Linked DNA regions of Elephas maximus indicus. The main gene of each other region encodes a partner of the protein of the gene in region 3 in a complex. Links are inferred from orthologs where the notes say so. Each region holds a gene or a part of one and is shown on either strand. Other genes may lie near its edges. The genes, in order: NET1, PKN1, RHOA and ARHGEF28.

Region 1 (7,992 bases), on a different chromosome or scaffold from region 3:
GGATTAATGATCTGAAACAACCTTTTCAGTCTTCTGATACTGAACATTGACTCAAGATTCTCTCAGGCTCATCCCTTAGAATAGTAATTGAACATTCACATGTTCGTTGCTCCTTTTTTAGACACTATCTACAGTTGTCTAAATTATAGTTAGACCACAAACCTGAACATACAAAATGAAACTAAGATTTTAGTGTTAATGATTTGGGATTTTTGTGACTATCATCTCTAGACCCTATTGGGCTCATGTAGTGTCTATTTTTATATAAAATGATTTCTACCTTTACCTCCTGGGTCCTCAGCTAAAGGAGAGAAATGAAAACTATCCCTTCCCCTCATTATCTTGACTTACTTCTATGATAACTAAATGGAAAAATAATAGTTTTGAGAAAGACATGGGGTAAGAGACCCGTATGACGCCCATAACAGCTTTTTCTCTAATTCTCATTGCACATAGTCCTTTATTCGTGAAACTAAATGACCATAAGTACTGGCCTTACTTGCATCATTTTTTAAGTGATTAAAGTAACTGAACCAAACTACTGGGTTCTATCCCAGGCTCTTCCTATTAGCTCTGAGAATTTAGGTGGATTAGTTTTCTTGCCTATAAAATTAGGGAACTGGATCCCACAGGAAACCCTGGTGGTGTAGTGGTTAAGTGCTACGGCTATTAACCAAAAAGTGGACAGTTCGAATCCGCCAGGCGCTCCTTGGAAACTGTACAGGGCAGTTCTACTCTGTCCTATAGGGTCGCTATGAGTCGGAATTGACTCGACGGCGGTGGGTTTGTTTTGTTTGGGGATCCCATGATCTACAAGGTGCTTCTACTTCAGTGCTACATAAAAATACCTTCTACAATCAGCCACAATCATACATGCTGCCCAGATGTGGCCAGGTAATAGAGGATAGATGATAAAATATAACCAATACCCATTACTTAAAAAAAAGGAGAAACAAAAACAATGAACACCTCAAACCAGACTGATGAATTACCATGACCTTGTATACAAAGCACATTGGTGGCTACAGAAGAGCAGCACTGGTCCTTCTTAAAAGAAGTAACACTGTCCTACAGACCTTAATAAATCTCTATATAGATTATTTGTCTTTATAAATAGTCAGTACCTATTATTTCTTACTCTGCCCTATTCATTCTTCAACCCCTGCAATTTACTTTGTTTATTCCACTGAACTTCCACACTTGAGGTCACTGTTAAACTTGTGATCACTAAATTCATGAATTTTTCCTTACCCTCCTTAACCTATTTTCAATAATTAACACCTTTTCTTCCCTTGGATTCTTGCTTTCTCTCCTTGTAATTGTTAATTCTTTTCTCTTGACATTTATCTTAGTTATCTAGTACTGCTAGAAATACCACAAGTGGATAGCTTTAACAAACAGAATTTTATTCACTCACAGTTTAGGAGGCTAGAAGTCCGAATTCAGGGCGCCACCTCTAGGGAAAGGCTCTCTCTCTGTCAGCTCTGGTGGAAAGTCCTTGCGTCCTTTCATCATTTGTGGGCCCAGCATTCCTTGGAGAACCTATGTGTCTTGGCATCAATATTCCCCTGGGTCTAGGAAGTTCAGCACAGGGTCCCCAGGTCCAAAGGACATGCTCCACTCCCAGCCCTTCTTTCTTGGTGATAATAGGTCCCTCTCTCTCTGCTCACTTCTCTCTCCTTTTGTCTCTTATAACATAAAAGGTGATGCAGGCCACACCCCAGGGAAACTGCCCTTACATGGATCAGGGCTATGACCTGAGTAAGGGTGTTGCATCCAACCCTAATCCTCATTAACGTGACATAATTGAGGAATCATGGAACGAGGAATATCATTGCTGATGTCAGATAGGTCTTGGCTGAAAGCAGAGAATACCAGAAAGATGTTTACCTGTGTTTTATTGACTACGCAAAGGCATTTGACTGTGTGAATCATGACAGGTTATGGATAACACTGCAAAGAATGGAATTCCAAGACATTTAATTGTGCTCATCAGAAACCTGTACATAGACCAAGAGGCAGTTGTTTGAACAGAACAAGGGGATACTCCGTGGTTTAAAATCAGGAAAGGTGTGTGTCACGGTTGTACCCTTTCACCAAATTTATTCAATCTGTGTGCTGAACATATAATCTGTGAAGCTGGACTATATGAAGAACACAACATCAGAATTGGAGGAAAACTCATTAACAACCTGCAACATGCAGATGACACAAACTTCTTGCTAAAAGCAAAGAGGACTTGAAGCACTTACTGATGAAGATCAAAGACTACAGCCTTCAGTATGAATTGCACCTAAACATAAAACAAAAATCCTCACAACTAGACCAATAAGCAACATCCTGATAAACAGGGAAAATACTGAATTTGTCAAGGATTTCATTTTTCTTGGTTCCACAATCAACGCCCATGGAGCAGCAGTCAGGAAACCAAATGACATGTTCCATTAGGCAAATCTGCTCCAAAAGACCTCTCTAAAGTGTCAAAAAGCAAAGGTGTTATTTTGAGGTCTATCATGCGCCTAACCCAAATCCATGGTCTTTTCAGCTACTTCATATGCATGTGAAAGCTGGACAGTGAATAAGGATGACCGAAGAAGAATTGATGCCTTTGAATACTGCAAAGAATACTGAATGGACTGCCAGAAGAATGAACAAATCTGTCTTGGAGAAAGTACAGCCAGAATGTTCCTTAGAAGCAAGATGGCGAGACTTCATCTCACATACTTTGGACATGTTGTCAGGAGGGACCAGTCCCTAGAGAAGGACATCATGCTTGGTGAAGTAGAGGGTCATCAAAAAAGAGTAAGATCCTCATCGAGATCAATTGACACAGTGGCTGCAACAATGAGCTCAAGTATAACAATGATTTTGAGGATGGCACAGTGTTTCGTTCTGTTGTACATAGGGTTGCTATGAATCGGAAGCAACTCAACGGCACCTAACAACAACAATCCTGCCTCATTAACATGATGGACAGCTTATTCCCAAATGGACCATAACCATAGGCATAGAGACTAGGATTTTCAACACATCACAAAATGAATGATAATGAGATCACAAAATAGGACAAGCACACAATACTGGGGATCATAGCCTAGCCAAGCTGATATATTTTAGGGGGATGCAATTCAGTCCATGAGACCATTCATCCAAAATTAGGTCTCTTGCTCTTTTTGTCCAGATTTTCTCTCCCAGGCATCTCCTTCATCCCCAAGGCTTCAACTCTCACTACTATGTGGCTGACTCTTCAGCCTAACTCTACCTCTCTTCTGCCTAAATCTGCCTGTCTTCCAAGTCCCTGTCCAACATTTCTAACATCTAGGTGAGTATTTTCATTTGTCTGTTCTTCCATCACCTCAGACTCAAGTATATCTAAAATGAAACAATTTTCTTTCAAAACTTGTTCTTATTATTTTCATAAACAGTTGCCCCTCCCATCTTAAAATCTTCAGCTTCTTTGACTTCTTGCATATATTGTCTCTTGCATGTATCCTTTTCCTTCCTGATGTCCTACCTTAGGTAAAGTTCTTGATACCTGATTATGATTTTTGCATTGCTGCCAATCATCTTTCAGACCACCTCAAACACTAGTCATATGTCTCTTCTTTCAGCATGACTTTCGTTACCTCTCTCACCTGCTCACTAAGACCTACTCCTTTTTAAGCACAGCCCATTACCTCACAGTTTGAGTTTACTCACTCAATCTACTTTGGAGCCTTGCGCTTTTCCCTTGCTGAAAAGCTGTCTTGTATTAGTTATATCTTCATGTGGCCTATCCACAATGGTATTAGCACTTAGGATCAGATATAAAACCTTTTATATATATATATATGTCAACCACAGTATCTAGAACAGTGTCTTTTTCGTAGATTTCTCCAATCCTAAGAATAGAAGTAAAATCATTTTTTGTGAAACACTGGCATCAGGTCATTCATAGTAATATACAGTTAAGTTAAAATCTTACCTTTCAAAATAGAATACAGTACTTTGTGTTAAAGAAGAAAATCTGCTTCATAGCAGACCTACCAGAGCAACAGAAATCATGTTGTTCCATAGAGAAACGGATTCAGACTAGAAATGTGGAAACTGTCACTAGTATATGACTTTGGGCAGGTAACTTCTCTGTGAGGCTCATTTCTTCCTGTGTAAAATGCAAGATAGTTTAAGTAAGTCTTTTGATTTCTATTAGGAATTTATCAAGATTGGTTAGTTCAGAATAAAGACCTCTGTTATATATTTTTAGAACAAATCACCTTTTATGTATTTTTATAACATCTAGTATACAGATATCAAATTTTAAAAACATACAGAAAAAATACCTACTATTAAGTCTAAGAAATACTGAACTTTATCCTCCAAAGTAACCCAGTTATGCTTTGCCCATAACCCTATGGGAGATTTACTTCAAGAATAGAGTAAACTTTATTTACCCTGCTGGTCTTACGAAAAAATAGTGGGAACCATTTTCTAAGGGCAGGCAATTTTACAGTTGTGAATATGTTTGCAACTTATGTAAAATAAAAGCAAGTTGCCTGGGTAATTAGGTTTTTCTTTAGCCTATACAGTTATTTAACTCTGAATTCCTACTTTCTTGCTTGAAGTTGTCAATTGTGCATAATAAATTTCTTCCTAGGTGAAAGGGTTTTTATGGGAAAAGTATCCCTGCCTGTGACTAAAACTAGATGAGATAACCTAAACAAGCAATTAGTTCTCCATTGGGAATGCTTTCTAAATCAGGAAGAAAAGCTTCTGCCTTACATTAACCCAACTTCCTTTTCCCTTCTCCTCTTATTTTCTTACTATAGAAATTCCAAACCTATCGATAAAGAGCTTTCTCTTCCACAGCGAAAACGGAGAAGCCTAGGTGTGCCACAGCTGTCAGTTAACTCGCGTCACGTGACCCCCTAGGTGCACGCCCACTAAGGCTAGTTCGCTGTTTTGGCCCCGCCTACAGAGCCTTGAGGTCTGTGTGCTTTTACCCCAGCTCTCAGAAGCTGTTAGTTCCACCACAAGGAAGAGACATGGGCAAATGGCTGCCAAGGGTGGGTGAGGACTCAAAAGAAAAGCCTGTGTGACTCAGTAGTGATCCGAGTCAGCAGAGCTGACGCGGATGTGGATCACTTGTAAAGATTTTAAGGAATACTCGGTAAAGCATGGTGGCGCATGATGAGATTGGAGGTCTCCTACCTATTAAAAGAACTATTCGAGTCCTAGATGTTAATAATCAGTCCTTCAGAGAACAAGAGGTAAGACTTTAAAATAAAAATTAGGCAAAAGGAATGTTTTCTAACTCCATGAAACTTTTAAGATTTTTAACAATTTATTAACAGTATAATTTTAAACTTTTGATCTAACAATTTAAGTATGGTTACTGAGTGTTAATATGTATGACTTTGATTATATCCAAGTTTGAGAAGTGTGCTTAGGAATTGTGGTATAGGTTTATTACATGGTATAGCTTGAGTGTACAGAAACTTCTATGCGAAAGGAAAAAGATTTTAAGTATATAAGCTGCTCAGTTTGGTTAAATTGGTCACTTTTCTGATGTTCTATATATATATATTTTTTAAAGTATATATATATATATATTTTTTTATCGTATTTGCTTAGCCTTAGGAACTGCTTTATGGGGTAAGAAGAAAAATAAGAATCCCTTCCTTGTAAGTTCATGCTAGTGGATAAATTGCAACTAAAGTGCTATCTGACCTGGTGTGGGTTTTTGCTTTTTCTTTCCACATCTATTAAGTTCATTGTGTGCTGCTTTTGTTTTCTTCAGAAAGAAAGATACGTTAAAACATTTAAGCACATGATCATTATTTAAATACTTTGAAGTCATTATAGTTCTTAAAAATCTTGATGAACATTTATCAAAGTAAATCAAATGCTTTTTATACAATTTTAGGTAATCTTTACAGTTAATTTAATACTATACGGTATTGTATTAATTTATATACTGCAATGTATATTATGTGGTATATATCATCACTTATGTTAGAAACAGTGTTTCTGTATTCAGTCATCTATGTATCTATCTTGATTGTAGTGGTGGTTTGGTATATACCTACTCAAAACTTACCTAATCATACTTTAAATATGTGCAGTTTGTTGTATGTTAGTCATACCTGAATAAAACTGTTTATCATATATGTACAACATATACTTTTTGGTAGCTAAAGTAGCTGCCATGTTTAGGAGGTACGCTTTTACTTGGCGTGGTTTGGCTTTGGTTATTGTTTTGTTTTTTGCTTACTTAGGTTTTGGTTTTCTTGATGTGTCTATATTAAGCAAATCAAGTACGTGGTCATCAGTGTAAATACTGAACCTGATAATCATCTTTTGGCCCATCAAGAGGCAGTCTTTTTTGTTTGGTATTAGACATGGGCCATGTTTCTGGCACAGCTGTATTCAAAAGATTAAAAACACCAGAAATGTTGTCAGGTTTTTAGAACTGGTAACATAGCCTTAAAGAAATGACTTACTTGAATATTCCTATTACCCTTCTTACTAAGTAGAAAGGGAAGAAATCCTATCATAACTCATTTTTATTTTTTTAAAAATAGCCTTTATTTTCATTCTTCTTATTTTAAACTTCTTGCCAGGTACTAAGGAAAATTATTCATTTTGTAATCCAAAACAAATAAACTTAGACACGTACTGTCTTTTTTAAATGTCTTGATTTAATTGACTATAGAAAAACCTCCTAAAATAAGCCCTCTTAAGTGACATCATTATTAGAAGAAAAACCTTTTTACAAGATGCTGAAGTCATGGCAGAATTTTTTTGTGTTGTTGCATTGACATGAAGGGTACATTCCAATAAAAGATTTTACATTGATCCTAACAATTTACCGTATATAGATGTTCAAAAAATATTTTAAGGTATAAAATCTGAACAACAATTGGATTGTGTAATTAATTAGTTACCCGGTCTGAAGGCAGGATTTCTTATAATAATGTGTGTGATTGCCTAGCTAAACTAGATAGTCTGATTAAAAGTTAACCTAAATAATCAACATGAATTTGTTAAGGGTGTTGGGTTTATGCTTCCCTTCCAAGTAAACTTTAGCCCTGGTGAAAGGTTACCTACAGTAGAAAGTTTCTTGAGTATGCTGGTATTCTTTATTTTCAAAAACGTTCAGATTGTCCTTTAAGGAGAGGGTATAGTTTGAATATCCATAGCACTGTTTCCAGTGCTCCAAAATAAAAACAATAGAAACATTATATAATCTTTACTTTTGGTGGTGGTAGGACGGATATACCCCTGCTCTTTTATAACCTCTAACTATTGTACCTGCATTGTGTGTGTGTGTGTGTGTGTGTGTGTGTGCAGTTCTCTAAAAACAGTCTCTTAGAAATGTGTTTTGTGACAATGCAAATATTTAAGTTCTTAGTAACTAAAACAAGATAGTTAAAATAGTTCAGCTGGATTTCTGAAGAAAAACTATTTTTGGTTTTAGTTCACATGAACCAAATCCTACCCTGTATTTCAAAAGATTGGGAATTTTTATCCCAACCTTATAGGCAACCCGTGATTGCCTAATCTGTATCACTTTTCCACAAAAATTTTCTGTATAATTTTTTTTTCAGGTAGTATACATATCCTGAAATTTAGTAGTATACTGTGCTGTAATCCATATCCAGTACTATGCCTTTACATTTCCATCACACTTTTCAAGTTATTCATTAAAAGTGTTTATGCTTTTGAAATATTAACACTAACAGTTTGTATTGTTTCTGCCAAAAAATCTCCACATGTGCCATTTTAGTAAAGCAGGAAAGTTGCTATTGGATCACCAAAAGCAAGTTGGAAAAGTGGAAAGTCTTCCCCTTCCCCCACTGGTATTTCCTGATTTAATACCACACTTTCTTACCAAGCAAGACATTTTGAATTAGATGAACTTTTAAGAGTAACATATCCTTTCTGGAGAAATGAGATATGGGTGGGTTTTTAAAGGACTGTGGAAATATTTAACCACCAAATACTGCTTAGCAT
Region 2 (7,537 bases), on a different chromosome or scaffold from region 3:
TAAGTGTTCACGGAGTGCATGTGGGTAGTTGGCAGGGTTTCCCAGCTCCATCCCAGGAGGCGCCTGGAACTTGGCAGGCAAGAGAGGGCCTGTCCCTAGAAAAGGGGAGCTCCCGCCAGCCCAGTCCCCGGGTCAAGTCAGAGCCTCACTCTGCCTAATCCTCTTCATCTGTAAAATGGGTCTGCTGAAGAATTAGAGGGAGACACCATATCCCTCAGGGCAAGGGTAATAAACATCCAGGTTCCATGACTGCAGTGAAGGGCTACTCTCTGGGCCTCAGTATGTTCACAGGTGAAAAGTGGGCGGGCTCTGGGTCGGCTTAATTCTTCTTTTTCTCTGTTAAAATTCCCAGAGAGTAGCTCAAAGAAAAATGCAAAGAGAAAACACCGCGCCTGGGTCTCTGGGACAATGTAAACCTCCCAGAGCCACGCGTAACCAAGGTACCTGCAGCCGTCTGTATTTCAGCAGGTCCCGGGAGGACGCCGACCGCATGCAGGACCCACCGCCAGGGAGTGCTCCTGGCCCGAAGCCTGGAGCCCAGAGCCCGGATCCTGGGGACCTTGGAGAAATTCCCCTGAGGTCTCGGCTCTCCCCAAGGGTAGAGCCCGTATTTATGGAGCGCCACCTGCATATGGGGTTCCTTGCAGACCCCATCAATCTTCACAGCCGGCCCCCAAGAAGAGGTTTGTCCACATTTTACAGGGAGAAACTAAGGCCCAGCGGCCACAGGGTCGACAGGGCCTAGAGTCAGCAGCTGAGTTGAGATTCGAACCCCTTCTAATAATATTAAAAATGACAGCAGCTAACATTTATTGAGTGCTTACTGTGTTCTCAGCACTTGACATGCACTATCTCTTTATTTTACCAAATCCCAGAAGTGGGTAAACCCTTTCCATGCCTCAGATGTGGCGCCTTAGGGGTGTGGGTCGTCCTTGAGCCTTAGGGATTTGAACCCAGATCTGTCCAGAACCGTGATTGTCTTCGGGCAGTGGGGAAGCTCCCGTGCCCTTGAATGGCAGACTCTTCAGCAGAATGGGTCCAGGAGGCCTGAGTTTGCAAACGGAGGGGTTAGGTTAGTTGTTATTGTTATTTTTTGGGTTTCGAGGGGATCCCCGGAGGCCCAAAGGGCCCTCCCGGCTGGAAGCGGCTCGCCCTTTGCTTCAGGCAGGGTGAGGAAGTTCCCGCGCGCTTCAGCGCGGGACCCGGCGGCAGGGCCAGCGTGGGAGGGACGGTCAGGGGGGCGCAGACGCTGGACCCCACAGCCCCAGGGGCCGCCGGGAGCCGCGCCCCCTCGCCCCGCCCCCTCCCCGGGCGCCGACCTCGGCGGTCACGTGACGCGGCCGGCCGCTGGGCCCGAGGGCGCGGCGCGCGGACGCGGCGGCCTGGCCGGGCAGGCCGGAGCCGAGCAGGCCGGAGCGGGCCGCGCGCCCAGGGTCGCGCCGCGCAGCCCCTCCGAGCCCCGCCCGGGCGCACGCGCGCTCCTCCGCCGGCCCCTCCCTCCGCGGGGACCCCTGGCGGGCGGCGCGAGGACATGGCCAGCGACGCCGTGCAGGTAGGCGCACCTGCGTCGGCAGCGGTGGGGCGGCCGGACGGCGCCAGGACCCCCGCCCGCGGCTGCCGGGGCCCCCAAAGTGGTACGGCAGGGCGGGGCCTCCGAGCGCCCGGTGCCCCTTCCCTGGGCCGGGACCCCGGAGCCAGCGCGGCCCCCTTCTCTGCAGGTGGAGGTACGGACTGGGAGGGTTAGGGAGGACCAGGAGCCCCGCTGCACCCCAAGCTCGGCCCGGCCCCGAGGACCCGAGCGGGCGCGGTGGAGGCGCGACTTCGGGTGGTTGGTTGGCTGTGCGTCCCGGTACCTGTCGGCCCCCATCTTCCCCCTCCGCAGCGATCAGTTCCCGGGAGATGCAGCTCTCCACCTGGGGCAGGTGGCTGGCGCGATGCCCGGGGAGGGAGGACACCGCCCGGCCCCTCCCCCTCCCCCGCACAACAAAGCTCCAGCGGCCCTGCCTCCGGACTGAGATTTACGATGGTCCCGACGCCACCCAGATTGGCACCTGTTGGCAGAAATGCCCGAGTCACCTAATTAGGTCGGGGGGACGGGGGACCCTCAAGCCTAATCTCCGGGGTACCGGCTGCGGGGTGGGACCTTACCCAGGTGGGCTGTGTCGGGTCAACAGGGAGTGCTCCAGGATTTGGGATTCTACCTGCCGTCCGTTGGCATCAGGGCAGGTTCACCCTGTATACACATACACACACTCATGACTGGCACCAAGCTGCCAGCCAGGGTCTCCCCTGGCCTCCCTGTGCCACCTTGAGGATATCACTGCCTTGGACTCACCTTCCACCTCTGGGACAAGTAGGGCCAGGTTGATCTCCGACTTTCTTTGGCTCAGTGATCCAAGTCTGAGACATGTCCTGTGCCTAGAGGCCCCTTTAGCATCTCACCATGCAGTCGGTTGTCCTGTGGTCTCTGTGTAACAGGTTTTCATCTCCTTTTGCACCTGCCCCATTCCCTCTGTGTCTCCCCATGATCCCCTATGATACCCCCCCCCCCAGTCCTGCTGATGGCCTGCCAGCCTTGCCGAGGAGCTGGGCGTATCTGGTGTTGCCGATCACACAAGGTCAGACCTTGGGGTGGGGTGGGCCGAGGTCCCTGCCTCCACCCCCGGCCCAGGAGGGCTGTATAGGAGCCCCCCTCCCCCGCGCGTGCATGCGCTTGACATGTACCACACATGACCCAGATGAAGGCTGTGATTCCTGCCACGAGGCTCCACCTGTGCCTGGCTCCCCCGCTTTCTGCCCCCGCCCCCCACAATTCCATTCTTGTGGCTGCCTGGGCTGCTGCCCTGTCCCTCTGTCTTCCCCGATGTGTGCCTGTCTATTCTGTGTCCGGCAAACGGATGTCCTGTGCAGATTCCGGAAACTCCCAAGGCATTGAAATCTCCAGACAAGGGGGTCTAGGTCCCAGACTGCTCTGGGGAGAGGGGGTTCTGGGAAGTGGGTGCCCTCGGCTTGGAGCCTCCTGCTTCAGGGTGAGGGGGAGCAGGGATTCTTTGAGGCCAGGTCAGGCCCCTGTGTCCTGGGTTTGCCTTCTTGGCCCTCAGGTGACCCCTCGTCCCTGGGTAGGAGTGAGTCACCCCAGAGAGGAGGGCCCAGGAGGCTGGGCCTCCTGCCCTCCCTCCCTATTCTCAGGGCTCAGTGGCCAGAGGTGGGCCCAGAGCAGCACTCCTCCTCTCTGCCTGGACTTCCCCAATTTAAGCTGGCCTCGCTCCTGGCTGTACCCCTGCTCTGCCTGCTGGGGAGGGTGTGGGGCTGGCCTGGTTGGGAGGGGGTATGTGAGTGCTGTCACTTCCTGTGTGCCCTGGCCACAGTGCCTTTGCCTTTCTGAACCTCCATCCTCCGTTCTGTCATTATAAAAATGGGCTAAAAAAGGTGTTTGCAGAGGAGAGAGACAGATACGGGGCCACTCATGGCAGATGGGGCTGCTGTCAGATAGCTACTGAGGAGCAGTGATGGTCTGGGGTTGAGTCTCTGTCATTTAACCCAGGCTTTCTCAGTCTCGGCCCTCTTAATGCTTGGGGCTGGATCGTTCTTTGCTGTGGGGGACTGTCTTGGGCGTTATAGGATATTGAACAGCATCCCTGGCCTCAAGCCACTGGATGCCAGTAGTGTACCCCTTGGTTGTAACAACCAGAAACATCTCTGGACATTGCCAGGTGTCCCTGGTGGTGGGGTGAAGTTGCCCCTGCTTGAGAACTGCTCTTACCTCTCTAAGCCTGTTTCCTCACCTGTAAAGTGGGAGGATGATAGCAGCTACTCAGGGTTATTGCGAGGGGTGGTCTTGGCCTGCAGCAAACCCTCTCTTGGGAGCAGCTGGCCTTGAGTTTGAGCAGCAGCTAGTGATGACTTTCCTCATCTGTGAAATGGGTTCTCAGAGTGGAGGGAGATAACACAGGTGCAGCACTTAGCCAGTGCTCAGATACTGGATGTTCCTTTTAAAATCCTGGCCTGCCTCCTGCTGGCTGAGGGACCTTGGGGCAAGTTACGGCACCCTCTGGGCCTAATTCCTCATCTAGATGATGTGGTGAAAATAGTGCCTACCTCGAGGAGTTGCATTAGTTGACCTGGGTGGAGCTTCTAGTAACTACTATGGTTAATAGTTGTATCTGAGCATTAGTGCGTGGTTAGCAAGTGTCTGTGGGCTGCTGGTTTTGTTCCTTATCCTAACCCCTCGGTGCTGTCCCCCACAATGTGTTGGTCTCAGGGAGACGCACTGGGCTGGCTGGGTCCCCAGACCTCAGAGCTGTGGTCAGCAGCAATGGGCAGCTGGACTGGGAGGAAGCAGGAAGTTAGACAGCCTATGCCTGCAGGAAGGGGCCCCGCCTCTGCAGAAATTGCTGTACCAACCCCAAAGGGGAAGTCGGGGACAGGGGGCGGGACAGGGGGGCCTGGCCAGAGGGACACGTGGAGCCGTCAGCAGGGCTGCAGGCCCTTGGGAGTGTGGGCAGGTTGTGGGGCTGTGGGGAGCATGTGTACATGTGTGAGGGTGTAGGCTTGTCCACACGGGCAGATGAAAGTGTGTATGTCCAGGTTCTGCAGTGACTCCTGTACACACTCATAGGTGTGTGCATGCAGGTGTAAATGTGAGTAGGTGTGAGAATGTGCACACACTTGTGAAACCTGTGTTCCATGAACACACTCACAGGTGTGGGAGAGTGCACACGTGTGAGCCTGTGTTCTATGTGCACACAGCCATAGGCGTGGGAGTGTGCACACACTTGTGAGTCTGTGCTGTGTGCACAGACATGTAGATATGTACATGTGCACTCAGCCTGTGTTCCTTCTGTACACCCATAGGCACTGGAGTATGCACACGTGTGAGCCTGTGTTCTGTGTGCACATCCATAGGCATGGGAGTGTGCACACATGCGTGGAGCTTGTGTTCTACGTGTACACCCATAGGCATGGGAGTGTGCCTGTGTTTTTGAGCACACCTGTAGGTATATGAGAGCATGTACACATCCAAGTCAGTCCCTGGAGCCTGCATACACTTGTGGAAGCCTGTTTGCCATGTACACAGTGAAGTGCACACCCGTGTACCTTGGGCACCTTCACAGGACAGGGAGTGAGCACAGTCCCCTGGTTGCCTCTGGGAAGCAGGCTTGACCCTGGAGTGGGGCTAAGGGGAAGCTCCCCTGGATGCCCCAGAGCCCCAGAGCTGGCCGGCCGCGGGGGGTGCTGGGAGGTGGCAGGAAAGAGGAAGTGGTGGTGAGAGGCCCTGGCAGGGCTGAGGCTCAGGAAGAGGGCGGGGCCCTCACCCTGGACCCAGGATGGCGGAGCCCTGTCCCCCTTTGGACCAGGAGCTGGAGGTGGGGGCCGGGTACCTGTGGTGGGCTGGTGGTAGAGGACCCCAAATGGGACAGGCTAGGGTGTGTGAGAGATGGCGCCCTTGCCCTCCACACCTCTTACTTTTAGACCAAGGAAAGGAGATGGGGCCCTGGCCTCAGAGCTCTCAGTTTGAAGGAAGGAAATATTTACGGCCCTTTGGGGCTCCCAGGTTTGTGGGGTAGAGGAGGAAGGAGGCGGGGCCTCTGCTCCGGAACTCCTAGTTTGGAGGGCAGCGGAGGGGCAGTGGTCTACCTTTGAGACCTCCTGTGTAGGGAAATGGGAGGGAAGACCGAGCCTCACCTCAGGACCTCCTGGTTTGGAGGAGACAGCAGAGGGTAGGCAGGGTCTTCCCTTGAGACCTCCTAGTTTGGGAGGACAGCAGAGAAAATTGGGGCTTACCTTCGAGACCTCCTAGTTTGTGGGAACAGCAGAGAGGAGATGGAGTCTGTAATCAGGACTTCCTAGTTTAGGGGGAGGACAGATGAGAGATGGGAGCTACCTTCACGGCCTCCTACTTTATGGGGGATAGCAGTAGGGCCACAAGACCTGTCCTAGGGATTTTCTGATTTGGGGTGGAACAGTAGAAAGGAGATGGGGTCACTTATTGGGACTTCCTACTTTGGGGGACAGCAGAGGGGAAATAGTGCCTACTTTCGAGACCCCCTAGTTTGGGGGGACAGTAGTGGGGCAGTGGGGTCTGCTTCCCAGAATCCCACCGCATGAGGAATAGATAAAGAGAGACAAGATTGTCCCTTGGGGACCCCTAGTCTGTAGGGATGGGGGAAGGGAGCAGGCCCTGCCCTGGGCCCTCACAGTTTGAGGGAGTTGAAAGCAGGGACAGGGCCCTGCTCTCACCTCCCAGTTTTGGGGCTCTGAGGAGGTAGAGCAGGCTCTGTCTTTGGGGGTACCTAAGGAGGCTGGGCCCAGGTTGGCTAAGGTGGTCTGCATCCCAGAGCCATCCCCCACTGACCCTGTTGCATCCTGCAGAGTGAGTCGCGCAACTGGTCCCTGCTGGAACAGCTGGGCCTGGCAGGGGCGGACCTGGCAGCCCCTGGGGTGCAGCAGCAGCTGGAGCTAGAGCGTGAGCGGCTGCGGCGAGAGATCCGCAAGGAGCTGAAGCTGAAGGAGGGTGCGGAGAACCTGAGGCGGGCCACCACTGACCTAGGTCGCAACCTGGGCCCCGTGGAGCTGCTGCTGCGTGGCTCCTCGCGCCGCCTCGACCTGCTGCACCAGCAGCTGCAGGAGCTGCACGCCCACGTGGTGCTGCCCGACCCTGCGACTGCTGCCCGTGGTGAGCCGGGGCTGGGGATGCAGGACTCCAGGGGCTCCCACTACCCAGGTGTGCCCCCACTGCCCTCGCAGCCAGGCCTGCACGAGAGGTTCAATACCATCTCCACTGGCCTCAGAGAGACAGACTCTGTCACAGCAACTCTGAGTCTCCAAACACAGTCATAGCAAAGAGCGAAGTCCACATAGCCACCTGACACCCAAAGACTCACATCGACAACCAGACGTACATGCTGTCAACACCCGGTCTCACACAGTCATTCCAACAACCAGACGGCACCCAGAGATGTACCTGCTGTCACACCAACACCCTGACACTCATGCACTTAGTCACACCAACACCTGGATGACACCCCAAAGGCTTTATACTGTCACGTGAATACACAGAGACTTTCACGCACGGTCACACCAGCCTCCAGAGATTCACACACATGGCCTCACCAACACCAGCCAGCACCCAAAAACTTATCCACTGTCACATGAACACTCAGAGACTCCTGCATCCTGCCACACCAACACCTGGACAACACCCGAAAACTCTCACACACGTCACGTCAATGTCTGAAGACTCACACACAGTCTCACCAACACCCAGTGACACCCAAAGACTCACACACATCACATCACATCACATCAGTATCTAGAGACACACGCAATCTCACCAACACCCAGACAACACTTGAAAACTCTCACACACGTCACATCAATGTCTAAAGACTCTCACACACAGTCTCACCAACACCCAGTGACACACAAAGACTCACATACATCACATCACGTCACATCAGTATCTAGAGACACACGCAATCTCAGCAACACCTAGACAACACCCAGAAACTTACATTCTGTTGCATAAATACCCAGA
Region 3 (7,368 bases):
CAGGCCTGTAAGGGCTGATGGGGATATTCCTTTTGGGCACCCCACGATCACTTTTCTAAGGAGCTGGCATCATCTCTTCACCTGTGCAAACCATTGCATTCTGGGTCCTGAAGAGCAACAGCCCCTGCCGCCCTGGGTGTTCCCACTTCAGTTACCCCTGTGCACGCATGGCCTTGTCCTGTCTGAATAACCACACGACTGATCCACTTCCATTTTTAATAAGCCATGTCTTCAGTTGAGCCTGTGTGTGGTGATGGTGTGTGGTGGACCTGGGAAGACCATCAATCTGCTAGCCAGAAGATATCTCTGGAGTGTGTTCATCACAGCCCCCACTTCCAATGCCCCTCTGCCTTAAGGATGGCCTAGGCAAAGGCTGCCATATCGAAACGTGACCTCTAACTGGGAGGAAGAGGGCAGTGGGACACTGAGGTAGCTGGTAGCCCAGCAGAGGCAGGCAGAGATATTGCCATTAGAGAGTGAGGCAGGTACAGGGCCTCATTGCTTTCAGCAACCAGTGTTTCTTTGGGGATGTTTTGCAACACACACCTTTGGAAGCTCCCCTGGCCTGCTGTGGAGGTGGCAGGCCTGCCTGACCTGTGGCTCTTCTGCATTGAGATGGTGCTGGTGAGGAGATGCTAAGCCTTGGGGCTCTTAGGATGAGGATCCTGTTGTTCCAGGTCAAGGTGGGAAGTGATGAGGATGCAGTGCATGATGGGGCTGCTCTGTACTAACTGCCCAGTACCTCAGTGAAGGACATGGTACATACTCAAGACCCATAGACACTTCAGTGCCGGGGGTGGGAGGCCACCCCAGGAGCTCAGCTGGTGGGCTCTGCCCCTTTCAGGCACCCAATTTTCCCTCCAGAAAGACTGAGGAATATGAATAGGACATTTCGGAAATGACAATTTCCTCTGCCTGGGTCATACCTAAAGAGATCTAGATGGGCCAGGGAGATGGTGTTCAGTGCCTCCATGATTGAATGGTGCTAGCTCCCCCTGCCATAGGACCTTATATCTAAATAGCTAAGTAACTTCTCAATACTTCCCAGTGAGGGAGCAGGGTGCAGACCTGAGACCCCACGGGCACTTCAGCAGTGCGGGCAGGAAGCCGCCCCAGAGTATAAAGCCTGGCCCAGGCCAGGATACCCTGGCTCCCTGCCAACAAAGCAAAACCAAAGGAATCCAGGGAACCCAGGGCTTAGGGGAGAACAGACTTCCTTACAAATCCCATGGCTGGTCAACCGCAACCTCATCCTCTCAAGGAGACAAATCTCTATGGGGTCATACCACAGGGGGATGGGAAGAGGGCCAGGAGATATAGGACAGAAAATGGATTGTTGGCTTCCCCAATCCAAAGGCTTCTCCTGAGCTCCAACCCCTGAGAGAGGAACAGCATACTTTTCCCCCTTAAGGCACACAGATCAGGGTAGAGGCAAAGTTCACTGACCCAATGCCTGGGACTGTTGGAGGCAGGGCTGAGGGCAGCAGAGGCCCAGCCCTGCAAGTGCTAAGGTACTCCCTGTCCCCAGCCCCAATCCTCCTGTAGTCATCCACAGGACTTGGCAGCAGGAGAACCCAATGTGGGAGCCAGGAGACTCCCTGTTGCCTTCTTTTATTCTCTGTGGGTTTTGAGAGGTTCATTTGCTGCAGTTTCCCTGAAAGTGATGGAGAGAGAGAAGAGAGGGGTTATTTCATGGGCAGCAGAGCAGTCCCTGGGATTGGCTCATCCCAGACCCTTCTTGGGAGCTGAGCTGGGCTCAGTAATGCCATACTACGATCCAGACCTCTCTGCTGAGCTTTAGATTCCTAGTGCCTCACAGGCCCCACAGTCCACACTGGGCTCAACACCTTCCCCCTGCAGACCTGTTCTTCCTCCTGGGTCCCCACCTTATGGTGCCACCATCCTTCCCCAGTTGCACAAGACAGAAACCTGGGCAGTGGCAGGCTTCCTAACTAGCCTATTGCCTTCACTCTTGGACTGCTTCATCTTGCCATGACACAGGCAGTTATAAGGCAAATTAGATCAGGCCCCACCTCCTGGAGTCCTTCAATAGTTTCCTGGACCTTAGGATAAGGGCCCTACAGGTCCCTCCTCTCCATATGCTCATTCATTTCTAAGCTCCTATGTATTATAGGGGCCACCATTATATTTTGGAAACAAATAACCTGTATTCTAGGTTTCATCTGTCCACAGATGGAGAGGAATTTTATCCCAGGTTGGAAAACACCCAGAGTGTCACTCATACTTGATTTAGATGATTCAAAAGATGAGATTTTGGACTTAAGAGTGGACACTGGAATGGGTTAAGACTTTTGCGATGGGATGAACGTATTTTGCACATGGGAAGGAAATGGAACTTGGGGTAGACAGAGGATAGAGTGTTATGGATTAAATGTTTCCCCCAAAAAGTTATGTTGAAGTCCTAATCCCTGTTATCTGTAAATATGACCTTGTTTGGGGAAATAGTTTCTCTTTTCTTATCAACTAGGTCAAATGAGATCAAACCAGAGTAGGGTGGGCCCTAGTCCTAATTTCTTTTGAGGGGTGTCTTATAAAAAGGGAGTATGTCATGTAGTGGGAATATAAATGCCATGTGACAATGAAAGCAGATGCATCAATAAGCAGCAAGGAAAAGCCAAAGATTGCTGGCAGCCACCAGAAACCAGGAGAGAGGCCTACATAAGGAATCAACCCCAATTTGGCTTAATTAGACTTTTAGTCTCCAGAACTGTGAGAAATTAATTACTGTTTTTTACGGCAGCTCCAGGGAACTAAGACAGAATTTGGTCTCAGCTCAGATTAGCTGAATGACTGCCTGATTAGTGAGTTCATGTTTCACACATCAGGAGGCTGGCCTTGATGAGGCCAGTCAGTGCTCTAAGGACAGAGACTCCTGGCTTCCCAAATGAGGGGCTTACATTGGAGAGGAATGCAACAGACCTGTCACTTCATCTCTCTGAAATTGTTCCCTCATCTGTAAAATGGTGATAATGTCCCTACCACCCACTCCACAGGTTGCTGGACAGCATGCTTAGAGAAGCTGTCCAGGTATCAGTGTCACCCCCAGCTTGAAGCCTGAGTTCTGGCTGTACACCTTGGAGCTTGCTGCAAAGGCCACTAAAACTGGTGGACTCCCACCCCGAGAGCCCCCTCCCACCACCTCCGGCACAGGAACGTCCTCTGCCTGCCAAGCATGGGGCTGGGGTGGGGACAGATACTCACCAGGAAGGAAAATGCGTGGAGCCATCAGGTGTGGATCCGTTCTGGCCGCCCAGACCTGGGGGCAGGAATACAGCCAGAGCTGCAGCAGGCTGTGGGGTGGGGCTCTGGGCAGGCATCAGCCCAGGTTAGGTTAGGAACCAGTTATATTGTTTGGTGAAGAGTCAGGTGGGGGTCCTAAGGGATAAGCGGTATTGTCTGGTGGGAATTCGGGGAACGTTACAATGCGATGGGTGGGCTGGTGGGGATTCTGGCGTGAAATGATATGGTGGCATTAAACAGTATGGGTTCAGCGTCAAATTCTGATAAGACTCTCGGAGAACCAGCGGTAGTCTAGGGAGATCCTGGGGAGCCGTACAGTCCGCTGGGGGCGGGCGGCCCGCGGAGGTTGATGGGGAACCTCACCTGGGCGGTGATACAGCCCGGTCACCGTGTTCCCGTAGAACCCCCACGCCAGCTGGATGCCCAGGAGACTTAACACCAACCACAGCAGCAGCAGCTTGAAGAGAGTCACGCGCATGTCCTGCGCCTCCCACTCCCGCAGGAACTCGCTGCCCAGGGCGCCCAGTGCGCCCAGCACCGTAGCCGGCAGAGCCTGCAAGGACTGCCCGGACCAAGGCTCCGCCATGACTGGCCTGCGCCCCACCCCAGGGACTGTCACTGTAGTCCCCACCGCGCAGGCGTCTAGTTTTCCGGGGCCAGGCCGGTTAGTGCGCACGCGTGAGCCCAGGCGGGGAAGGCCTACCGCGGTTGCGCGAAGAGTTGGCAGTTCGGGGAGGAGTATTTACGACGCGCACGCGCACCTAGACCCACCCGGCTTAAAGGATGAGTGACTCGAGGGGTATAAAATAGCAACCAGGTCTTTTATAGCCCCAGAGTTCCCGTGATGCCCCGTGCGGCTGCAATGATTGGTTAAGCGCCTTGCTCTGAGGGCGTGGACACGCTCCTGAGCAATCGTGGCTGAATTGTGAGTGCGCGCGCGTGCGCGGGGCCGCGACTGTGGCCGGCTCGAGCCCGCCGGGCGCCCGGGGGCGCGCACGTCGCTCCCCGCCCTCCCGCCACCGCCCGCCCTCGCTCGCTCGAGCTCCCCGCCCGCCGCCCGCCGTCCTTCCTCGGTTCTCTCGTTAGTCAGCCGCCGCCTCCTCAGCGACCAGCCAGCGCCTCCGAGCTCGCGACTCGCGGAGCGGCGTCCTCGCCACGAAGAGGCCGGACTCGGAGTCGCCGCCAAAGGTGAGCGGGAGGGTTCACTCCCAGCGCCGCGGCGCCTCTGGTCCGCCCGCTCGGCACTGTTCCGGTCGCCCGCCTGCCGCCCCTCCGCAGCCGCGCCCCACCTGCTGCTTCCAGCCGGTCGCCCCCGGTGTCCGGTCCACGGTCCCCGGCCCATGGCTTCCGGCTCTCGGTCCCGGCCCCGCGCCCCGAGGCGACGCCCCGCCCGCTCAGGCCCCGGAAGCGCGCCCCGCCGCCGCCCGCGCCCCTTCCCCCGCCCGGTCGGGCCTGGTAGATAGAGCCCAAGCTGCCTGCTCGTCCGCCGCCCCTCCCCAGCGCTTCCTCTCACTGCCGCGCCGGTTCCCCGCCCAGCAGTCGCGGCGGCCGCGCCGGGTAGGGCGGGGGCTCCGGATCCGGCCCCGCGACCGCGCGGTACTGCCGGCCTTTGCGACTCGCGCGTGGCTGTAGGAGTTGAAATGGGAAAGTTACTCTTTACAACTCCATTTTGCTTTTTTACATTCAGTGTAATATATGAATGTTTTATGCTGTTTGAATTCAGTGTTTGGGGTACATTTCCTTTTTTAATGTAGTGTTTTTGGAGATTGTGTTGTAATCTTAGGGATCAGGGCTATTTGTATTGTAAAATAAGAAAAAGTGAGGACGTTTTCCGCTTGAAAAGAGCATTTTTTATGATCTATGTTCCACCAAAATAGAGTATTAATTTGCAATTTTAATTAGTCCTTTTTATTATTTTGATTAGGAAGCATCTAAACATTTGTCCCTAGTTACTGATTGGATCCACAGTTACAGGTAGTCTTCATTAAATAGCATTATTTGCGCACAAATCGATTTGATCAAAAACCATGTCTAGTAGTTTATGGCGGAAAAATGACATATTTTTTGCCTCAGAGTTGAGGAAGAAGGTAAAAAATGACACTTTTTTTTTGATAGTTTTGATTTAAGAATTTTACCTGTTTGTGATCTGGTCGGTTCTTTTTTTCTTTACCCTTTTGAAGTAAATTTTTTCTTGCAGGCGTGTAATCAATTATATTCTTCTCTGCCAAAAATGAGGGAAAAAAATACTTCTGTATTAAAAGCTTTTTTTAAATATTGTATGTGGTGAGAATTTTTGAGCCACTTTTAGTTTTGTTTTGAGTTTTAGTGTCCCCCACACAAATGTGTAGTCTGGACATGTACATGATTGTCACCTTACCTGTACCCGTTGCCCTTGGGTCGATTGTGACTATAGGACCGAATAGAACTGCCCCATAGGGTTTGCAAGGAGCACCTGGTGAATTCAAACTGCTGACCTTTTGGTTAGCAGCTGTAGCTCTTAACCATTATGCCACCAGGGTTTCCATTAGACATGACTGAATTGGTGGTCATATTATTTTGAGGGCTTGGCACAAGTGACGTTGTTTGCACTGAAAATACAAGACTTTTTCTGAATTGTAAAAGATGACTTATTGAGGTTATCTTCTGATAAATTGTATTAAGGATAGTTCCTATCTACTGTGGTAGATCACTGATGGCTCTTGGGAATGTAACAAAAAATATGATATGGAACTTGCGCTTTGAGTCAGATTTTAGTCCTAGAGACTTATGATCTCTGTTCTCATAAGAGATCTGTGCTGGAGGGAGAAGAGAGTAGGAATATAGCTATCAACTGACTTCATAGAACCAGAATTTTAGACCTGGAAGGAATTTTCAGGACTTGTAATCCAACCCTTTCCCCTCCCTTTTGCAGATGAGGAAACTGAGTCCCAGAGACTTAAGTAAATTTACCAAGCTCACGTATCTTGTTGGGGGAGCAGATTAGAATTTTTTTTTGTAAGGTATTCTCCACGCACTCCCGAGTATCAGGCCTAGAGTCAGCTAAAATCCAGGGCTTCCAACTTAGTCCAGTGTTTTCCACTTTTACACCTTGCTGGTTGCCTTTGGAAACCCTAGTGGCATAGTGGTTAAGAGCTGACCGCTGACCAAAAAGCTGGCAGTTCGAATCCACCACGCGCTCCTTGGAAACCTTATGGGACAGTTCTACTCTGTCCTGTAGGGTCAGTATGACTCGGAATCAACTTGAAAGCAATGGGTTTTTTTTTTGGTTTAGGAGAGTCTAAAAAAATTTGTCAAACAAATTACAGTTCTTTGGCTTTCACAACACTCTCCTCTGTATCTGGGTGGTCCTGTAGCAGTTAAATGATGCAGATAAATGAATGTGCAGGGTGAGTGGCTGGCCTAGTCCTGGCTTTGGGTATTTGGGTCTTCTTGATGAACCAACTTTTTCCAGAGGGGAGTCCAGACTTCCTTTCTCCAAATCCATCATAGTTCAGCCTAAAATGTTATCAGGTAACTGTGGGCCTTTTTGAGTATTGATTTGGAGTGGGTTTGGGAGAAACTGCTCATATCAAGTAAACAGTGCATGTGCATGTGTGAGAGTGGTTTTGTTGTTGGAGTTTTTTCATAGTCCTGATTCTTTGTCAGTTAACTCTTTTAAAAGTTTGTCCTGGTCATGTGGGGAAACCCTGGTGGCTTAGTGGTTAGGAGCTACAGCTGCTAACCAAGAGATCAGTAGTTTGAATCCACCAGACACTCCTTGGGAACTCTATGGGGCAGTTCTCCCCTGTCCTAGAGAGTCCCTATGAGTTGGAGGCGACTCCTGACGGCAGCGGGTTTGGTTTTGGTCATATGGTGGTGTAAGTTATTAGGGGAGTAAAACAGGCAGATCTTCAGGTGTTTCCTGTCCATGGGGTGGGGTCCGACCAAGCAGTGACAGCGGGAGCTGAGGTGCTACTTAGGGTCTTCTTAGTTGTCCTAGAGCGGAGAGATTTGTGTTAACTCTGCCAGGAGACAGGCTGGTATTTCAGCTTTTAAGAGGTTTTTTTAATTTGGGTTTGATGAGCTTTTGTAGATAGCAGCTTGAGTTTAAGCATTACGGCTGCTAGT
Region 4 (7,151 bases), on a different chromosome or scaffold from region 3:
TTATATATATATATTTTTAGACGGTTTACAGAAAAAAAAAACTAGTTTCTCATTAAACAGTTAGTACATACATTGTTCTATGACATTGGTTAACAACCCTATGACATGTCAACACTCTCCCTCCTCAACTCTGGGTCCCATGTTACCAGCTTTCCTGTTCCCTTCTGCCTTCCAATCCCTGCCCTGGGGCTGGTGCGCCCCTTTAGTCTTGTTTTGTTCCACAGGTCTGCTCTGTCTTTGGCTGTAGGGTGAGCCTCAGGAGTGACTTCATTACTCAGCTGAGAGGGTGTCTGGGGGCCAAACTCTCAGGGTTTCTCCAGTCTCTGTCAGGCCAGCAAGTCTGGTCTTCCTTTTTGAGTTAGAATTTTGTCCTACATTTTTCTCTAGCTCTGTCCGGGGCCCTCTATTGTGATTCCTGTCAGAGCAGTCAGTGGTGGTAGCCGGGCACCATTTAGTTTTACTGGACTTGGTCTGGTGGAGGCTGTGGTGGATGTGGTCCATTAGTCCTTTGGACTAATCTTTCCCTTGTATCTTTCATTTTCTTCATTCTTCCTTGCTCCCAAAGGGGCGAGACCAGTGGCATACTCCAAAATATTAACTGCCACTGTTAGCTGCACCCTTAGTATGTGTCTCATATTGACTTTCAGTCATTTAATCCTCATAATGATAGTAAACATTATTCTTATGCCCATTTTACAGATGGAGAAATGGAGGCTTAGAAAGATTGGCTCTTCCCAAGTTTGGCTCATTAGTGAATGAAAGAGTTGCTGTTTGGACTTGGCAATTTTTACTTACAGAGCTTACCCCTAACATCATCACTCTAAACCCACGATCTCCCAGTATCATACTTTCATTTAAGAAACACTGATAATTCCCTCATTCGTATGGCCAAACATCAGATTTACAATTATTCAAGTTTTGAGAATTATTGGCAAAGGAGATAGACTAAAGGGCGGGAAAGAATTAAGTAGATAATAGAATCTGAGGTGGTTCTAATACATTTTTAAAAGTTTGAAAAGAGTGACGTACATTTTCCTTCCTGTATAATTAACATGATGTTGTTGTTAGCTGCCATCGAGTTGGTTCCGACTCATAGTGACCTCATATACAATAGAACCAAATACTGCCTGGTTCTGTGCCATCCTCACAATTATTGCTATGTTTGAGCCCATTGTTGTAGCTACTGTGTCAATCCAACTCGTTGAAGGTCTTCCTCTTTTTCACTGACCGTCCACCTTACCAAGCAGTAGTCTCCCCCAGGGACTGGTCCCTCCTGATAACATGTCCAAAGTGCATGAGACAAAGTTTCATCATCCTCGCTTCCAAGGGGCACTCTGGCTGTATTTTCTCAATGGCAGATGTGTTCATTATTCTAGTAGTCCTTGGTATATTCAGTATTCTTTACCAGCACCATAATTCAAAGGCATCAATTCTTTTTGGTCTTCCTTATTCATTGTCCAGCTTTCACATGCATACGAGGTGATTAAAAATACCATAGCTTGGGTCAGGTGCACATCAGTCCTCAAGGTGACTAATAGAATGACTATGATAGTTAAATTAAAAAAGCAAATATTTTATACTCTAGATGTGCCCTGTATTAGAACTGTGGAGATTATAGGGATAAGAAAGTCTTTGTCCTTCAAGTGACAAATTGAAAAAAAGGATAAGAACCTGTAATCATCCAACATATGACAGTGAATATAATCAGTTGCTAAATTGTGTGGTAAGGCCATCATTAAGCTTTGTTGAAGTTCAGAGGGTGGCAGAAACCAGGATAGTGAAGAAAGGTTTTATGGAGGTTTGTCTGGCGTGAAGTCTGTCAGGATGAATGGAGAATGAATAGCTAGAAATGACAGGAGCTGAACTGGGCACTGGCATACTGCTCATTAGGAAGTAAGAATTTTCCCAACTGAATTACCAAACTGGTTTCTTGCTGCCTGCACTTCCCTTGTCTTTGAATTCTAGACAAAAAGCTGTCCCAGTCGAGCTTAGCACTATCTCAGTGCCCTAAGTGACCTATATCTGAAGCAGTGAAATCAATCAGATGAAAACGGTTAGCTTCCTGTTTCATACATTTATGGGCTTCTTTTAAGGTTGCTGGAGTACACTTTGTTTAACATTTGAACCTAGAGAAGTTGAAAGCCAAGTACTTATTTAAATATTGATCAAGCTCTGCTTGAGAGAAGGCAAGAAAACTGCAGATAGCATGATTATATAGCCCCAGTTCGGGAGGGTTTCACAATTACTAGTTTTCCTTGTTTGTTTCTTTTTAGTATGAAGGAATTTTGGTATAACTTCTCATAATATTTATTCCTCCTCACACTTATTATTTTTTCTATCTACATACCACACAGAATTAGTGGGAAAAAAATTTAAGGGGGAAAAAAAAAAACAAAAAAGAAAATACACAAAGATTCAATACTGGTAATGTGAAAAAGGAGAATAACAACAAAGGCTTCTAACACACCCATGTTTTTGCTCATCAGTTTGGAAACCATTTTTCCTGGTGTGTTGATTCAGTTAATCCACAGTAGACATATTAGGGCTGGGAATCATTTTTATTTTTGAAAAGAATATTGCTTTTCTTTTCATCTTGAGTACCTTGAAGTCCTGGCAATGGGCAGGAACTTCTCCACCACCGCTGTGCTTGAGGCAGGTTCACAGCTGTGTAGGGTGGAATCAGCCAGGATTACAGCCATGAGTCAGAAGTGCAGTGCCAACGCTGTGGGCCTCCTTGTTAAAGTGGAATAGGCCTTGACCTTTGCCTTGGAACAGGGCTAAGGACTCCAGACACAGGGACTTTTTATTGAGAACCTCAGGCTGTCTTCTCCTGCCTTCCCTTCTTCCTCCAGCTCATATCAGCAAGGTGGGCTGGAGAAGGTGAAGGCAGGAAGGGAGACAGCAGAAATGGCCAAGGCCCAGGAGAGGTGATGGCGAAAGCGGAAAGTGGCCAAGGAGTGAGAAGGAGTGATTCTTTCTGGCCCAGTGCCTTGGTGGACAGCTTCCTCAGGCCACGGCCCAGTCCTGGTTCTGGGGCGGCACGTCTATACAGGACAAAAAACAACAACAAAAGAACCAGACACTCCAGGTAATTACAAGAAAAGTTAAATCGGTTTTTCTTTTAAAGCTGCTATAACTGTCTTCCTTTTATGAAGGCCTGGCTGATGGAGATGAGATCCTGGTGGCTAGTGGTTAAGAGCTACGGCTGTTAACCCCAAGGTCGGCAGTTCAAATCTACCAGGCGCTCCTTGGAAACGCAACGGGGCAGCTCTACTCTGTCTGATAGGGTTGCTATGAGTGGGAATCAACTCGATGGCAACCGGTTTGGGTTTTTTTTCGGGCTGATGGAGAAGCTTCCACATTGGGGTTGTGATCAGTTCTAACTGGAAAAGCACTTTGGATAAAAGAGTCCCTTTCACAGTGTTGTTCCTTGTTTAAAAAAAAAAAAGAGAGTTTTTGAATTATGATGACTTTTAATGGAGCCACTTGCGTGCATGAACTAGGAGAATCGCAGCTCTGCAAAGCTCTGGGCCAGAGGAACATGAGCCTCTTGAAATAAGAGGGTGTCTCTGCTGATTTTTAAATAATACTGCATTTTTTTTTTTTTTTTTTGCCTATTGTAATAGACCTGGGCCATATTATGTCACGGGTGTGGTGGCTTTTGGCTGAGGACAGCCTGAACCTCCGTAGGGCCTGGCACAACTCTTTTCAGCAGAGGGTAGGCCAGGTCCTTCCTCCGCCGGCGCCGAGGCTATGCCCCTGGGGCCGGGCCCTGCGGGCGCAGCCACCAGGGCGCAACCTCGTCCTTCCCTGGCCCGGCCGGGCGGTGCAGCCGCTGCGCGTCTTGGCGCTGCGTGCAGGGTGAGGGAGGCCGAGGAGAGCCTGCCTCAGCCCCGCGGCGGGAGGGGGCTGGTGGCGACAGCCCAGTCGGGCAGCTTCAGGTTTCCTCCTGGAGCCGGTGTCGGGCCGCCGAGCGGGCCGGCCTCGCCATGTGATGCCGCAGTTGCGAGCCGGGCCGGGAGGTTGGCGGGCGGGGGGATCCAGTGGCAGCCGGGAGGAGGGGGGGAGCAGGGGCGGCCCCAGTTACCAGCTCAGCCAGCCCGGCCCGGGAGCGCGGCTGCGGCTCCGCCCCTCCGCCCTTGCCCGAGCTGTGCCGCCGCGGGCGTTGGCAGCTCTGGGGAGAGCCTTCCCGGCTCCAGGCGGCTGTGGTCCTGGGGCGCGTTCCGGGGCGCCCTCGGGCAGGGCGCGGGGCGCAGCGCCTCACCAGGGCTCCGGAGGCAGCGGGGCCATAGCTCCAGGTAAATGCTGTTTGGGACTCCATCCACCGCGACTCCGGCAGCCCTGGGCGGAAAAGTTTGTCTACCTGAGTTTGCAACCGTGGGGACACTTTCTCCAGGGTCCCAGGGGACGCATGGGTCAGCAGTGGTGGAAAGGGGGTGCAGCTGCGGGCTCGGCTGCGTGAGGGATGGGCTTCGCCTCCCAGTTCCCCCGGGACTGCAACAAGTGCAAAGGGCTGCACAGCCGGGCGCGGCGGCGGCAGCTGCGGAGCGCGGGGTCGCTCGGGCGTCGCGGCCCCGAACGCAGCGGGAAGGCGGCGGCGGCCTTTCTCGCCCTCGCGGGCCCAGCTCCCCCGACGGGGGATGGGCGAGTGGGAGCCCGGCCTCTGCCCTTCAGGCGCCGAGGAAATAAATGGCACACCTGCCGTGCAGTGGGGGTGCTGGCCAGGAAGAAGGGAGAGTCTCGAAAGCTGGGGTCCTCCCTCCGCATCCGTGCATTCGCTCTGGGGCCAAGGGTACTCGGCGGGGCTCAAGCTCGGAACACTAGCGATGCAGAAGCGCTAACAGTTATTTCGTGGGGAAACAGTTGCTGTGTTTTTTTCTTAAAAAAATTTATAGTTATTTTGTTGGGGGGTGGTGTCAGAATTCCGTCAGACTTTCTTAGGTTTATTTTATGGATTTTTTTTTACCCCTCTCGAATATAAGGCGTGTGCGTGTGTGTATGTGTGGGGGTGGGGTGGGGGTGGGGATGGGGGGACAATAACCTTCCCGAGTGTAGGGTCTCCAAAGGGGTCATAATGAGGCATATGTGCTAGGCAGAGGCGGCATCCTTGCCTAAGGAGGGCTGCCTGGAGGTTGGGTGCTGGGGCCGCCCTGTAAACCCAGCTCTGGTATCCCAGACACCAATTCGGTTTCCAGGAGAGAACCCATCTGCCTTCCTGGGAGCCCACCCCGTCCCCCCTGTTGGTTATACCTGGGGTGGGATGAGGAAAGGTGGCAACATCAGTGTTTGCGCAGCGTCTCTCTCCTTGACCTTGCCTGGGTTTGGCAAGTTTCCTAAGACCTGGCACTTTGGAGGTTTACCGCTGACTTGCGCCAATTGGGCAAGAAATATGAAAAATTAAGACGTTTAGAAAGAACTGATCATTTCAGGTCCCATGGGGTCCCTGGTTTTCTGAAGCTTTGTCATCGTGTGTTCCTAGGCCCTGAAGCTGTCAGGGTAAGCGAAATTGTTTTCACGGTTAAAAAAAAAGAAAAAAAAAAAAAATCAAAGACCTGATTCTGTTAGGTTTGAGGGGAGGGGTTCCTCTTTGCGCAGGACAATCCAAGCAGAGTGATAACTTCACCTGGGAAGGTTTCTATGCATCTTTCCTGGGTTTTTATATTTTAGTTCCAGTTGCCCTTCAGTTGAGCCTGACTTATGGCAACCCCATGTGTGTCAGAGTAGAACTGTGCTCCATAGAGTTTTCAGTGGCTTATTTTATGGAAGTAGATTGCCAGGTCTTTCTTCGAAGGTGCCTCTGGGTGGACTCAAACCTCCAACCCTTCGGTTAGCAGCAGAGCATGTTAACCACTTGAAGCACCCGGGGACTCCTGGGTTTTTCTATACACCTTCTTAAAACACATGGGAGTTTGCCCTGTCTTGACCAATGGCCAAGCTAATCCCTTTGGAGTATCTAGAGAAAAGAAATGAATACTGCAAAAGGTTTTGGAATTTTTAATACAATATGATATTTCAATGTAATGTTCTGATGTGGATTTCATATGTAGTTGTACTCATTGACTTTTTTTTTCTCATTGACTTTTATCAAATAAGAATTTGGACAGCATCCGATCTCATATTTAGTGGTGAAGGAAACCGAGGCACACAGCTAGCTATTGAGTATCTGACTCAGATGAGTGTCCTGGCTAACAGGAGAATGGGGAACAGAAAATCAGTGTTTGCCCTTTTGACTGTATTTTTTTTCCTTATCAAAACCACATAACCTGGCCAAGCAAGAACAGGTTATGTAACAGGTGTGCCATAACCTCTGAAGCATCCATCCAATCCTTTAAGCAGTTTGGAAATACTTAAAGGTAAAGAGGAAAGCAGTAATTGGTCACTAAGGTTCTATGAAATTTCATCAGGGGCCTCACTTGGGTTTCACACCCTTTTTATAATGTGAATACTGGAGAAAAGTTTGGAATAGTTTTTCATTGTGCTCTTATAAGAAACTACTGCTTGTGGCTTAGACTTAAATTGGGCCGGAATTTCAGGTGAGCTCTGATAACATGACCTCCTTTAGTATGCCATGTGAGAAAATGAAACGTGTTCTAAATAGGTATTAAAGCAAATAGCAGAATATAATATTACTTTTATATTAAGCTTTCTGTATAAAACTGGTTACCACTTAAGCTCTAACTTCAAGTCCTCCCAGAGTTTATGATCAAGTGCTGACTCTCCAGATAAAAGATTTATGATACAAATGTTGGAAAACCCTTTACTATTGGGGCACAGCTAAGATGGTAATAAACTGAGCCCAGATGACTCTCAGACTCCCAGGCTGACTATAATTTTATTATGCTTTAATTTACTGATCAGATATGAGAGATCTGGTTTATGTACATTTTCTCTAATTGCATTTGTACTTAGGTTGCTTTCAGTGGGCAGAAAAGCTATGGGATTTTTTTCCCTTGTGACCTTAACTAAGGTTTGTTATGAAGAGGTGGGTCAAGCCGGGCAACTCCTATTGAGAAGTGCTAAATTATAAACAGTGTTACACTTGAAATGCACCAAATTCAGGGAATTTTGCCATGTTAAGAGTTGTACTGTAAATATTATGCCGTCCTATAGGGCTTGGGTCTAGATCCTTTACTAAGGCAAAGCCGGGCTTA

Evidence for each region.
Region 1: the proteins of RHOA (region 3) and NET1 are in contact, whole or in part, in a crystal structure (PDB 4XH9), measured with the Homo sapiens proteins. The link is inferred for Elephas maximus indicus from reciprocal best matches to the Homo sapiens genes RHOA and NET1. Residues at the interface, in NP_001300870.1 of Homo sapiens: Arg5, Lys7, Tyr34, Pro36, Thr37, Val38, Phe39, Glu40, Asn41, Tyr42, Val43, Asp45, Glu54, Trp58, Ala61, Gly62, Gln63, Tyr66, Asp67, Arg68, Leu69, Arg70, Leu72, Ser73, Pro75, Asp76, Pro96, Thr100, Pro101, Glu102; in NP_001040625.1 of Homo sapiens: Glu177, Ala178, Glu181, Gln270, Leu271, Lys274, Lys281, Gln291, Leu294, Glu295, Arg300, Lys301, Leu302, Asp303, Trp305, Ser306, Asp309, Arg312, Ser313, Arg314, Val316, Lys317, Leu320, Leu321, Glu324, Gln347, Leu350, Ser351, Ile353, Asn354.
Region 2: the proteins of RHOA (region 3) and PKN1 are in contact, whole or in part, in a crystal structure (PDB 1CXZ), measured with the Homo sapiens proteins. The link is inferred for Elephas maximus indicus from reciprocal best matches to the Homo sapiens genes RHOA and PKN1. Residues at the interface, in NP_001300870.1 of Homo sapiens: Met1, Ala2, Phe25, Ser26, Lys27, Asp28, Gln29, Val43, Asp45, Ile46, Glu47, Gln52, Glu54, Thr163, Lys164, Arg168, Glu169; in NP_002732.3 of Homo sapiens: Glu40, Arg43, Arg44, Ile46, Arg47, Leu50, Lys51, Lys53, Glu54, Glu57, Asn58, Arg60, Arg61, Leu77, Arg78, Ser81, Leu84, Asp85, His88.
Region 4: the proteins of RHOA (region 3) and ARHGEF28 are in contact, whole or in part, in a crystal structure (PDB 6BC0), measured with the Homo sapiens proteins. The link is inferred for Elephas maximus indicus from reciprocal best matches to the Homo sapiens genes RHOA and ARHGEF28. Residues at the interface, in NP_001300870.1 of Homo sapiens: Arg5, Val38, Phe39, Glu40, Asn41, Tyr42, Val43, Glu54, Ala56, Trp58, Arg68, Leu69, Leu72; in NP_001171164.1 of Homo sapiens: Lys1140, Ile1142, Arg1144, Glu1145, Val1146, Ala1147, Asn1148, Glu1149, Phe1154, Ile1156, Ala1158, Ser1159, Ser1160, Pro1163, Glu1164, Met1165.

The regions. Positions count from the first base shown.
Region 1 is NC_064822.1:53,568,561-53,576,552, reverse strand, and holds the start of NET1 (neuroepithelial cell-transforming gene 1 protein), read left to right. Parts: upstream 1-4,979; 5' UTR 4,980-5,153; coding exon 5,154-5,246; intron 5,247-7,992. Other genes in the region: neuroepithelial cell-transforming gene 1 protein-like, read left to right, coding at 2,546-2,566, 3,182-3,256. UniProt on the Homo sapiens protein: Acts as a guanine nucleotide exchange factor (GEF) for RhoA GTPase. May be involved in activation of the SAPK/JNK pathway Stimulates genotoxic stress-induced RHOB activity in breast cancer cells leading to their cell death.
Region 2 is NC_064821.1:33,038,279-33,045,815, forward strand, and holds the start of PKN1 (serine/threonine-protein kinase N1), read left to right. Parts: upstream 1-4,525; 5' UTR 4,526-5,327; coding exon 5,328-5,366; intron 5,367-6,372; coding exon 6,373-6,676; intron 6,677-7,537. UniProt on the Homo sapiens protein: PKC-related serine/threonine-protein kinase involved in various processes such as regulation of the intermediate filaments of the actin cytoskeleton, cell migration, tumor cell invasion and transcription regulation.
Region 3 is NC_064838.1:53,868,130-53,875,497, reverse strand, and holds the start of RHOA (transforming protein RhoA), read left to right. Parts: upstream 1-4,359; 5' UTR 4,360-4,449; intron 4,450-7,368. Other genes in the region: TCTA (T-cell leukemia translocation-altered gene protein), read right to left, coding at 1,612-1,654, 3,223-3,277, 3,625-3,847. UniProt on the Homo sapiens protein: Small GTPase which cycles between an active GTP-bound and an inactive GDP-bound state.
Region 4 is NC_064820.1:77,859,300-77,866,450, forward strand, and holds the start of ARHGEF28 (rho guanine nucleotide exchange factor 28), read left to right. Parts: upstream 1-4,143; 5' UTR 4,144-4,298; intron 4,299-7,151. UniProt on the Homo sapiens protein: Functions as a RHOA-specific guanine nucleotide exchange factor regulating signaling pathways downstream of integrins and growth factor receptors. Functions in axonal branching, synapse formation and dendritic morphogenesis.